3 linked regions of the Arabidopsis thaliana genome follow. The protein of the gene in region 2 interacts with the protein of the main gene of each other region in a pairwise test. Each region holds a gene or a part of one and is shown on either strand. Other genes may lie near its edges. The genes, in order: AT3G60590, AT5G66480 and IRX15-L.

The links.
Region 1: the proteins of AT5G66480 (region 2) and AT3G60590 interact in a two-hybrid assay, tested with the Arabidopsis thaliana proteins (one large-scale study listed by BioGRID).
Region 3: the proteins of AT5G66480 (region 2) and IRX15-L interact in a two-hybrid assay, tested with the Arabidopsis thaliana proteins (one large-scale study listed by BioGRID).

Annotation. Positions count from the first base shown.
Region 1 is NC_003074.8:22,396,602-22,400,279, forward strand, and holds AT3G60590 (cytochrome P450 family protein), read left to right. Parts: upstream 1-1,626; coding exon 1,627-1,819; intron 1,820-2,130; coding exon 2,131-3,152; downstream 3,153-3,678.
Region 2 is NC_003076.8:26,544,003-26,549,082, forward strand, and holds AT5G66480 (bacteriophage N4 adsorption B protein), read right to left. Parts: upstream 2,999-5,080; 5' UTR 2,818-2,998; intron 2,479-2,817; 5' UTR 2,475-2,478; coding exon 1,733-2,474; intron 1,411-1,732; coding exon 988-1,410; intron 905-987; coding exon 735-904; 3' UTR 539-734; downstream 1-538. Other genes in the region: AT5G66470 (GTP-binding protein Era-like protein), read right to left, coding at 1-300; AT5G66490 (uncharacterized protein), read right to left, coding at 3,421-3,750; AT5G66500 (Tetratricopeptide repeat (TPR)-like superfamily protein), read right to left, coding at 4,074-5,080.
Region 3 is NC_003076.8:26,817,084-26,820,791, reverse strand, and holds IRX15-L (IRREGULAR XYLEM protein (DUF579)), read right to left. Parts: upstream 1,844-3,708; 5' UTR 1,774-1,843; coding exon 820-1,773; 3' UTR 635-819; downstream 1-634. Other genes in the region: AT5G67220 (FMN-linked oxidoreductases superfamily protein), read left to right, coding at 1-516. UniProt on the Arabidopsis thaliana protein: Required for xylan biosynthesis, but not directly involved in catalyzing the addition of sugars to the growing polymer.

The sequences.
Region 1 (3,678 bases), on a different chromosome or scaffold from region 2:
TCAATGCACCAGTTTCAGCTTCAAGTCTTCTTCATTTAATTTTATTTTTCTAGTTAAATGTTTTCGACTTCTCCTTTTTTTGTTTGATTTTCCTAACTTCAGTTTGTTTGATTTAATGAAAAAAGAAACCTCTAATAATGACTCACTAAAGACAACCACCGTTATCTCTCAACAAGTCAACATAGAAAAAGTTTCAATACAAGATTCTATTTGGAAAACCAACTCGTTTGTTAGAAATTTACATTAGTTATCGAGAACAAATGTATATATATATATATATATATATTAATTTGAAAAAGAAAAAAAAAAAAAACAGTGACTCCCACGTAATACGCTAAAGCTTAAATGGTCAACTGATTCATAAAGTAACTTTCAAGAACATTAACCGCTTTGAATTACGACTTACATTGTGACTCAAATAACTGAATCAATTGATTAATGGATAACGTGTACATGCTTTAATACTTGGACCAGTTAAAATTCTAGTAGATACGATCAGTGACATGAAATGATAAAAGTTTTCAAAATGAAAAAAAAACGACAACAAAATAACAGAAGTGGCAAGAAAAAGGTCTGTAATATACTAATATAGGTAAAAAGATAGAGATACCAAACGGTATTAATTTTTTCTGATAAACAAAATATGTGGTACATTATGGATACGATAAAAAAAAAAGTCATCATCAATCAAAAAAAAAAAAAAAGTTTAATGAACAGTCAACTAAATCGGACAGCTCTCTAATATATACTTTTACCTGTCTTATTGTTCCCATACCCCAAACTAGACTAATTAGAACTTGTTTTAATAGTAAAATTCAAGTTTTTGTCTTGCAGTTTTCTTTCGAGTCTCAAGTTCAAAAGGACTAAAACGGAGGAAAAGATGCATGCTTCTCAAAATTCCGTCTCTGTCCTGTTTTCTTGAAGTCACGTCTCAACTCTCAAAGTCTCCTTTCCCAAACCCTAAATTCTTAGTGTACCAAGCGCAAAATCGTTTCAAAATACCCTTTTTGTAATAAAAAAAAAATGTATGCATAAATGAAAAATAAAATAATACAAAATCATGAATTAAATCATAGTAAGAGATTCCAAATTAAAAGAAAACAAAAACTCATAAGTAACTTTTTACATGATCCATTCTGATTGTAAATCTCGATTATGAATTAGTGCAATACAAAAGTTGGTAGCCAAACAAATGGTTTCAATAAGTCTGGTTTTTGGATAGTGTCGTGACTTGGTAAAGTAACATTTCACTAGATTTGCTTGTCCGAAGCCAATGAGAATGACTCACTTTTACATTTCTGTTCACACCATCATTATTATCAAAATCTCGTTATCATTGTTACTACCATTCCATACGTACCTTTAATCCATACGACCAAAATAATGCATAAACTCCCTGCAGGGACAAAGAGACGTCGGAAAGTACGAGATTAGACCACTCCAACTGCCAAAAGAACTACGCGGGCTAAGACGTTTCATTTGGCAGTGACAAAAACAACGTCAACGGTGAACAGTGCCACCATGGCCATCGTCTTAGCTTTTTGAAGACACGTAAATCCTCCTTATCAAAAATTATAACAAAATATAAACATAAGCTACCGATCTATAGTGGGCTTTTTAAAAAGGATGGGCCGACTATTCAAGTTATCAACACGTCGTCGTATAATCATAGTAGCTCTTTGTATTTTTGTTCCGGACATGATTATCTTAGTATCCAAACACGTCACATTCAAGTTTATTCTAAAGATTTTTCTCTCCGGAGACGTTAAGAGAAGAAACAGCCAACGGATTAGGGATCTTACCGTTCTGCGATTCGCCGGTGAGTGTTTTTATTTTATTTTTCCGATTTCATATCGGCTTCTTACTCTTTAATTCGATTTCCTTATATGTTATCGTGATTACCTTCCCGAGAATTCATGGTAAAATTGATCGGTATATATTTTGATAATCGACTTCAATTTGGTTTATCCCTCCTTATGCTTAATTGCTTCACTTACCGGTTTTGATTCTGACTTGTATTGATTTGATATCGATTATCCGGTTTAGTAGCTTCAAGTGTTTCCCCTGTGTCCATGTATCGTCTTGGTCCTGATGATTTTGAAATGTTCTGTTTTGTTTGTTTATGTTAAGAACAGAGTTTGAAGCTTTTTTTAGAGACTTCAATGGTGAGCCAAGGAATGGTATCTCTTACAAAGTCTCTATGCACTATGACTCCAAGAGTCCGTCTCAAGAATCCGAATATGTTGCAGAAACTAAAGACTGGATCTTGTAATTTCCGTTTCAGAAATCTCCGTGTCTTATGCACACCAAAGCTGTCTCAGTGGGAACCGTCACCTTTCATTCATGCTTCTGCAGAAGAAGCTGCTGATATAGTATTGGACAAAACCGCGAATGTGTTCGAATCTATTGTCTCCGAGAGTGCAGAGGAAGAGAAAGTAGATATGTCAGCGCAACAACGAACTAATTCTCAAGTTCAGGTACTTAAATGGCCAATATGGCTTTTGGGTCCATCTGTTCTCCTCACAAGCGGTATGGCGCCTACTTTATGGCTTCCGTTGTCATCGGTTTTTCTCGGTTCCAACGTGGTTAGTCTACTTTCTTTGATCGGTCTAGATTGCATTTTCAATCTTGGAGCAACCCTTTTCCTCTTAATGGCTGATTCTTGCGCACGTCCTAAAGACCCATCACAGTCCTGCAACAGCAAACCACCATTTAGCTATAAGTTCTGGAACATGTTTTCACTCATAATCGGGTTTCTAGTCCCAATGTTACTTCTCTTCGGATCCCAATCTGGCCTTCTCGCTTCTCTCCAGCCCCAGATTCCTTTCCTCTCGTCCGCTGTTATCCTCTTCCCGTACTTCATTCTCCTTGCTGTTCAGACATTAACAGAGATCCTCACATGGCACTGGCAATCACCGGTCTGGCTAGTCACACCAGTTGTCTACGAGGCTTACCGAATCTTGCAACTGATGAGAGGGTTGACACTTAGTGCAGAGGTCAACGCACCGGTTTGGGTGGTTCATATGCTTCGTGGGCTTGTCTCTTGGTGGGTATTGATCTTGGGAATGCAACTCATGAGAGTTGCTTGGTTTGCTGGTTTTGCATCTAGAACAACAACAGGTCAGCAACCACAATCTGTTGCTTCTAAGTAAAGACAGATAAATGTTTCTTCGTTTAGTTTTTAAAGTCATGTCAAAGATTTGTAACTCTTTCTTCACTGTATAGCTTTTATTATTCGTGGGTTGGTGATAAGGATTAAAAAAAAACACATATTCTTTATGATCATATTCGCTCTTTTAGTTAGGTATGTGATGTTATTCATTTCAATATTAAAGGCTGATAGGTTGACGTTAAGGTTGAGAATATGCAAAGGTTGACACAGATTCCTGTCAAAGAAAGACATTTAAGAATTTACGAAAAATGATGAAAATGTTTCTCTTAAGAAAGTAGAGCATAATGTCGAATAAGACTAGTTTATATGGTTTTGTATTTTTACTAAGTCATGTCAGAAAGAAGAAGAAAAATATATGTACTGTGTTATAGCCTTATAAGTAATAGGTTTTTGCATTTGGTGAGTACTTGGTAACAGTAAAAAAAAGAAAGTTATACGTTACGTTGTGAAATATGATCAGATTATAATGTATATTCTTTACTTTAGTTGAATTGTTGTTGTTGTAA
Region 2 (5,080 bases):
CAGGGAGAGAAGACTGGCTTCGTCGACGATATCGATCTCCACTTGTTCTTCATCATCTTCTAATTGTGCTTGCTCAACCTCCATTTCGCTGAAGCTTCGTTGCCTAATCCATAGCTTCTTCGAGGAGGAGAGTTCCGTCCGGCCATAGCTAGTGGTACTGTTGTGCGCCTGGAGATGTGATTTGGTAACTCTCCGCCGACTATAGATACGATACGGAGAGAAATTAGGGTTTTCAACAACGGAAGTAGAGAAGAATTTGTAGCGGGAAAGAGTAGGCGAAATATGCGGAGAGACCGCCATTGTTGGACTTGGTTTTTCAAATTGATAGCTCTCACTGGTTGGTTTTTCCTCACAGGTGCTTTCTTTAGTGATTAGCGAAGGAACCAAATATGATCTTCATACGACGCCGTTTCAGAATTTGTTATTTCCACTTACACCCCTTGTTAAATATAATTCCCATTTCAACCGCCTTTATTTTTCTTTACCCAGTTACCCCCCTCGTTAAATTTAAGAACCAACATAACAAAAGCAAGAATCAGGCACGGAACTTCTGGCTAATAATAACATTGCAAGTCAATAAGCGACACAAACAGAACCAAATTGGTATGACCTTGATCGTATGAAGCTGAGTTATGTCGTCATCATGAATGTTCTATACATTCTCTAGAAAAGGTTAAAACAAAACCCATTTTCCTATTTTTATTCACAAGGCCTGAAGCTTTGATTCAACCTCATTATGAATCTTTTGGAGACAGCTGAGGTTGAGCTTCATCTGATGATAACATTCCGGGAGGAAGGTACGACCAGGCCAAGACTCCACTCCCGAGTGTGATGGTTGCAGCTATTGATCCCCAAATCCACCTCTGCCTCCTCTTTCTCTTTTGCCCGTCTCGCCTTGCCACCTCTGATATCAAAGAGAGTTGAAGCATTGAGATAAAGAAAAATAAGATAAGACATTCTTGTAAATTTAACTTGAGTTTCTTCTACCTATGGCCTCTTGGTTGCGCTGGGACATTTCCTGGTTCACAGTCTCGTAATAATGAAGACGGTCAGACAACCGGGTGATTTCAAAGTTCTTAGCTTCGAGCTCAGCTTCCATCTCCATCTCTACCTCTGTCTTGGCCAAGTCACTGCCTAGTGTGTCGGAGACAAACCTGGTGACCTCAAGTTGACAACGTAGCTCATCAGCTAGGTTCATGCTGTATTGGCTTCTGGTGGGATCAAGAGGAAGGAACATACCCACATCGGCCAACTGGTCACGGAGCCTCCGCCAATGAACTTGCATTTGCTCTAGAGTCGCCTCTGCCTGCCTCCTCCTTTCGATTTCCATTAGTAAACCCAATCTCATCTCCCTTACCTCAGATTCAATGTTGTTAGCTGAACTCTGCATTCCACTGTCAGTTGATAGTTCTGGAAGCCAAGAAACAGTAACTGAATAAATTAAAACCAGTTTCTTAGATATACCAGTGAATCATGCATGCAGATTTTCTATGTCTTTGGAAATCTGATTCATAACTATCACGAATTCAAGATGACTATAAACACAGGAATCCCAAGCCTAAAAGGCCACTTCACAACCAAAATCACATACTGATATATGCATATAACACTTAAAACTAAAGGAGAAGAGGCTCCAAGAACTGGCAAAAAGTGATGATGCTAGAAATGTCAGACATCATAAGAATTTTCTAGCTATCTCGTGGTTAAAAAAGTTAGTAGGAAGAAACAGTACCATCGCAAGCATCATAAAACTCTCCAACATGTGTAGCAAGACTGTGTGAGCTTTCAGCTCTCTCGAAATCTTCTACCTCTGTGTTACTTGTGAAGCTTACTAATTCACCTGGGTTATAGAAATTTTCAGGCTCAAGCTCCTTGTCTGCTTTTATTCTTACCGGCTCCAATAAGTAACTTTGCCATTCTAAATTACTGGTAGCATTATTACTTCCAATCCCACCATTGCTGATATCTCTTCCCGACTTCTCGTTCAAAAATGTCCCAAGAGGGGGACTGCAATCCCAAACAGGACGTTCATGGATGCCTTGGGTGTGAACACCATTGGTGTGATCCACCGCAATAGCCTCGGTGATAGGAAATGATAGGGATGTGGACTTGCTCAAGGAGGCAGTAGCCTCCACATCTACATTACCACTAATCTTTTCCTCACCAGAGGTTATCGGGTGAGAAGGCCCATCCACCTCAGAGTCCCTATTGAAAAGAACAGGCCCACGAGCTTTGTGATTGATGATATAGGGAGATGGAGGGTAGGAAGAAGGCGAATTGGGATGAGGGATTTCTTTAGTAGTGGCATATAGAGAAGGTGACATCTGAGGACGAGTGAATGTCTTTTCTTTAGGTTGCTTACTTTCATCATTCAAAATAGACGGCTTTGACTGCAGTGTGCTTGGAAATTTACTAGATAAGGACGTCCCTGAATTTAGTGATCTACCCAAAGCGGCAGCAGAAAATGTAGGCATGACTCTGCATCATTGAAGATTTCAATTAGAAATCCACCAATAGGGATACACAACAGCGAGAGAGCGTTGTTCAACTAATAAAGTAATGAACATCGAGAGAGTCGATAACGGATAAACAAAAATCCAAATCAATGTCAAGCAATTAATAACCTATACAAACAAGCTAACAATCTGAGAGTTCAATTTCGGGAAGGAGCAAACCATAGAGTGCGAGATTATCAAACTAATCATTCAACATCAAGTAGCCTAAACTAAATTTAACAGAGATTATCACGGAACCAAGACCTTAATCATCAAATCGAACAGTCAGCAGCTAGCAAAATCACTCGATAGAAATAGTTACCTCGCGACAGAGCATCAATCGGAGAAGACGAAACGAAAAGATCAACGCAGACGGAGGAAGAAGAGACGATCGATTGATGGTAGATTGATATGACATGGTGCGAAAAAAGAGCAAACAGAGATTAGATATATACTGAGGAGGAGAGAAAAAAGAGAAACCTCTTCTCCAAGGCTTTAGTCGCAACAAACTCTTAATTTAAACCTCTTCACCAAGGCTTTCATTCGCAACGACCGCGTATCACGCTGGGTTTTGGGGAATCACCGGAACGGCTGCGTTTTGATGGGGTTTTGTATGTTTAGTGACGTGGCATCTCCTGGTGTTTCGGGTAGGCTTTTGTAGTCATCAGGGGCCCCACTGTGTTTATTCGTAAATTTGTAAACCCAGTCTGATTACTGATAACAAGTAATAAACCGAGAATTTTTCTTACTATCAAACTGTAAACTTAAATTACATGGATTTGTCCACAAAGAAGCAGAATCATGGCTTATGGACGAGCTTTCTACTTTGATGTATGTATGTATTCATCCTTCTTATTCAAATAGAAAGGTATATCACAAATCGAAAATAAATATAAACAACCTCTGTGAAATCTCTTTCTCCGATCTATCTGTAATATATGGCAGGTCCATTTGAAGTGTTATCCCAAACACCTCCTTCCTTGACATACTCCAAGTACCTAGCGAATTCTGGTTTTGCAGTCGTCGTGCTCTTCTTCTTCTTCTTCCTCTTTAGACTCATTTCGAAGAAACTAAATAGAGGGTGAGCCGAACCCCTGGTTTTCTCCACCGGTTTATTCACCTTCGGGGATTGACCATGGGGATTTGTAGGAACGCTCTCCGGTTTCACTTCTAAAAGCCCTGCGCCTGCTTCTTCTTCGTCGCCGAGCTTCTTGTAGCTGCCTCGAACCTTCCTCGTGCTCAGCGCTCTAATCATTATTTCTTGTGGTTTTGATCAATTCTCTCTGGTGATATGTTTTTAAGAAAGGATAGATTTTGAAAAGGACACATCTTTTGACTTCTCTTCTCCTTATCCCAACGACTCCTTTAACTTAAACCTTATGTGACATTGCCCTTTCACCTACTACTATTCGTGGGTCAATGCTACTTTATTTTTGACTATGTCTTCTTTGGTGTTTGACTTAATTAGGACAACGAGACAGTTCCACAACAATGCTTTAGACTTTAGTGGACTTGCTCTGTTTCTTGACACAAAAACAGTAGCTCAAGTGTAGTGTAATGCTGAAAAAACAAAGCAATTCATATGAATAAGCTGTGTCCTGCTGTTTTAACCAAACCTTTATTCTTCAGTTTTCCTCTCAATTCTTCAACGACATCCCACTTCCCCATCGCTGCATAGAAATTCGAAACCAACACATAAATGCTCGCGTTCTCTGGACCCGTCTCTTCCATAAGCCTCCTTGCTACATATTCGCCTCGCGTAAGATCCATATTAAGACTACAAGCACTGAGTACCGCTACCCATATAGCACAAGGAATGCTTTGATTATCGTTCTCCATCATTCTCTCGACTAATCTCCATATCTCTTCTGTCTCACCAGCCTTGCTTAAGATATCGATGAAGCATACGTAATGCTCTGTTCCAGGAACCAACCGATACTTCTCCTTCATCATACCAAAACATTCCTTACCTTCTTTAACTAGTCCTGCGTGTGCACAAGCCGATATAACAACAAGAAATGTCACTGAATTCGGTAAAACTCCGCTTCCTTCTTCACACATTTCCCTGAAGATTTCAAGAGCTTTAACCCCATCCCCATTAACCGCATACGCATCTATCATACTCGTCCAAGAAACCACACTTTTAGATGGAATAGCTCTGAAAATAGTACGCGCTTGCACAATCTGACCGCATTTTCCATACATATCCATTAAGCCATTGCATAGCTTAGAATCTGAAACGAAACCATTACGTAAAGCGACACAGTGTATCTGTTTACCAATCCACAGATCAGAGTTATCAGAGCAGCCAGCAAGAGAGCTACTGAGCACTCTCACATTGGGTCTCTGCCTACTCATAAGCAGAAACGCTTCCTTGTAATTTCGGTTTCGAATGCAACCTGATATCAAAGAATTCAACATCACCTCGTCCGTATGAACATTCAAACTGTTATAAACCTTCATGGCTTCATTGATCAAACCTACACTCGAGTAAAAACTAATCATTGCAGTTCCTAAAACCACGAGATCGCGTCCGGTGACCACCACCATGGCATGAACTTGCTTCCCTTGCTGCAAAATCTTGA
Region 3 (3,708 bases), 270 kb from region 2:
GGGAAGAAATTTAGAGCTGATTGGAGCGCAATCAAGGAAGTGAAAAACGCTATGAGAATCCCTGTCTTAGCGAATGGGAATGTAAGATGCATCGAAGATGTCGATAACTGCATCAAAGAGACGGGTGTTGAAGGTGTTCTCTCTGCGGAGACGCTTCTTGAAAACCCGGCGGCCTTTGCTGGGTTTAGAACAGCTGAATGGGCAAAAGATAACGAAGAAGAGGGATTCGTCGATGGAGGGTTAGACCAGGGAGATTTAGTTGTTGAGTATTTAAAGCTGTGTGAGAAGCATCCGGTTCCATGGAGGATGATTCGATCTCACGTTCATAAGATGTTGGGAGAATGGTTTAGAATTCATCCACAAGTTAGAGAGCAACTTAATGCTCAAAACATATTGACGTTTGAGTTTCTATACGGACTTGTGGATCAGCTAAGAGAGCTTGGAGGAAGAGTTCCACTCTACAAGAAAAAGAAGATAGATACTCTGACTCCACAAGACTCTCCACAAAGGGTTTAGAGAGTTGAAACTATACGTTCTTGATTCATTGGGTTTTATCATTTATGTTGTAACACCAAATCATCAGTATCCAAATACTATAGTGGTATTTTAAACGAATTGTTGTACCTCGAAGAGATATTTTGAAATTTTAATTGATCTGATTGAATTTTCACATAGTTTAAAAAGCAGGAAAAAATATTTAAAGGTAGAAAAACGTATTATTTTACACAAACTCCTTCCGCGATTGACGGTGTCAATGACCACCGTCGTGTCGGTTGGTTTGACTCTCCACAGTCCACAAGATTTTAGCGCACATTTAACTCAAGCCGATGGAGAAGAAACAGAGCGTTTCTTCTTACGACCACGACAGAACTGCGTGCTGTTTTTATCCATCTTCTCCAACACGTAGTGCGCAAGCAGATCATTAGATTCCACAAGATTCTCCCGGCAAAGAAACTCATCCCCACAAAGTCTCTCAACATCTCTGTAATAATCATGAACAAACACATGCGTCTTCGGATTCCCGCCTTTTTTACTCCGAGCAAGAACCGCCGCCGTGAAAATCGACGACATCCTCCCCGGTACATCTCCACCGTCGCCACGTGGTCCATCAACTAAGATCACATCCCAATCAACATCGTATACATGATTCGGCAAATCATTGAGTCCTAATTTACAATCTGAAAAGAGAAGATTCTGCACTGGACGACACTCGTTCCTCGCCGCTTCTTTAACCGCCGACACAAGCTCACGCGCCTCACGAGCTTTGGTCGTGTACTGAACATCGAAGACTTCGATCTCCGGGTGGATTTCTTCGAAGTAAGCAGCGTAGTAACGATTCTCTTCGATGAAAACTGTACGCCCGTTGTGGTTTAGCGATTTCCAGAGAAGGGTTTCGTGTGTAAGACCGAAGACTAAGAGATTACACGGCGGAGAGCAGCGGCGGAGGACGTCGGAGATTGATTTCATCTCTCCGTATGACATGTGGTAGCTGTCGTTTGATCTTGAAGCGTAGTGAAGCATTGCATTGATGGCTGTTGTTGGTAACTGAGAGATGGTAGCGGTGGTGACGGCAGAATTGACGGCGGAGGAGACGGTGGCGGAGTTGTTTTTAGAAGAGATGATGGAGTCGGTGGTGTAGAGAAGAGTTAGGAGAAAAGCGATTGTGAAGAAAGAAACGAAAGCGAGAAGCCATAGACGATTTGTGCTTGTTTGCTTTTGAATGTATGGATGAACAAGTATGAGTTTAGTGTTTGTGTTCCCTCCACTTTTCATTTTTGCTTTTCGCTCTGTTTTGGTCAGAGAAAGAAGACGAAGAGGATGACTCTGTTTTAAAAACAAAAGTGTTTTGGTTTTGAGAAGTATTAAAAAGGAAATATATGAACTCAAACCTATCAGAGACTGACGACGACGTCACAAATGTGGTAGAGGTATTATAATGTATAGTAGTATTTATTATATTCTAGAAGACTAATTTGCTCTGGAATCTTATTAATTATTTCCAAAATTTAGCTTCGTGTGGGAGATTTCTGAAGGCGACATCTCTCTAATACAACTTAGAAAATAACATTTATCTAACACGGATATTACCTAATTAACAAATCACCGTAAATCAAAATAAGCGTCTGGTAAATTTTAAAAGAGTGAAAGTGACAGATCTTAATCATGTACTTTTTGAGAGTAAAAAGTGTAAGGGTTAAAATGCTGTTGACTGGTTTTTACGGTTATAAATTGTGAACTATAAATCAATCAAGTCCTAAACTACAATCATACGTTTTGGAGTTAGTTGGGAAGAATACAAAAAAACAAAACACCAAATGTTTGTATTGGTTATAAAGTTTAATAAGAAAAGTGTAAAGAAAAGAGGGGAGGGTGTTTGGGATTAGAATAGAGGTGGTTGGTTGTACCGTATATGCATGGAGCTGGTGAAATGAAGAAGAGAGGGAAGAGAGGTGTCGGCGTTTTGGTTACTGCAAAGTGACACCATAACTAATTACAGGCCACAAGTCTTTGTCCCTTCTTCTTCTTCGTTGACTTCTTTCCTAAGGAATTATATTTAAAACTATGCATTACAATATTATTATTATTATCTTATACTAATATTAAACAATTAAAAACAAACATTATTTCATCTAAACTAGGAAAATATAAGTAGGTGATACAAAATTCGCCTAAACTAAGTTGATGGTATTAACCCAAACAGTTATGCTAGATAAAATTATGTACTTTTTATGTGATGAAACCAACTTCAAATGGTTTAAGTATTATAACGTCAAAATTATGTACTTCACATGGTGATGGACTCTGCTTTTGCCTCAAAAGGACTCTCTTACTGAAATCCACCTGATTTGGGCCCGTTGAACAAGGTCTATTTTTATTTGGGCTTTAGTGTGGTACATAACAGATTCCAGGTTTGATGCTAAAAGTCTCTATAGACCCTATGTACATTCTTATATCAGAGGATTAGCCATTTATATGCTGAAATAATTACATTTTAAAGTGACACACACATATTAGCCTCTAAAGAAAGAAATGGTGGGTGCTTCGTTTTAGATCTTATTTACAAATAATGAAGTCAAAAATCACTTTAGCTTAGTTTTCTCCGTATAGCCACCACACTTTTAACCTTTTGTTATATAAAGAAACAGTGAATACTTATTGTAATCCTTAAAGTTGAAACTCAATGTTTAAGGAAATGACGCTAATGGAGAGTGGAGATGCTGTTTTCGTGTCACTACTAAAGCAGCACGCTTTGCTTATCTTGAATCTTTTTATAAAGAAAGTGCATCAAGCAAAGTGAATATTAAAAAAACATAGAAGAGTGGGAACAATGAGTTTTTATTGTGATTGGACCCAAAATCGTACAAATCTGTAGAAACTCTCCATACTTTTTGTCACAGTGTCAATAACTCTCACCATTTCTTCCACATAATTTCCGTTAACTATGTATTTTTTGTTTTGAGAAATAAAACGTCGCTATTTTGATTTTTTGTTTTTTTAATTAAAGAGTAAAAAGGACAAGTAAGGTTGACAAATTAAAAACAAAAAAAAGGACCACACATGCTTGGCTACGAGTCTAGTCATTTCCTACGGACCAATCAGTAACGGCTATAGCCACTCACGGACTTGCTCAAGCCGTCGCTTATGTAAAGGCTCCAGACGCTGATTCTCACCCGCTTCACTCAGCGCGTGACTCTCAGTCCCCCAATG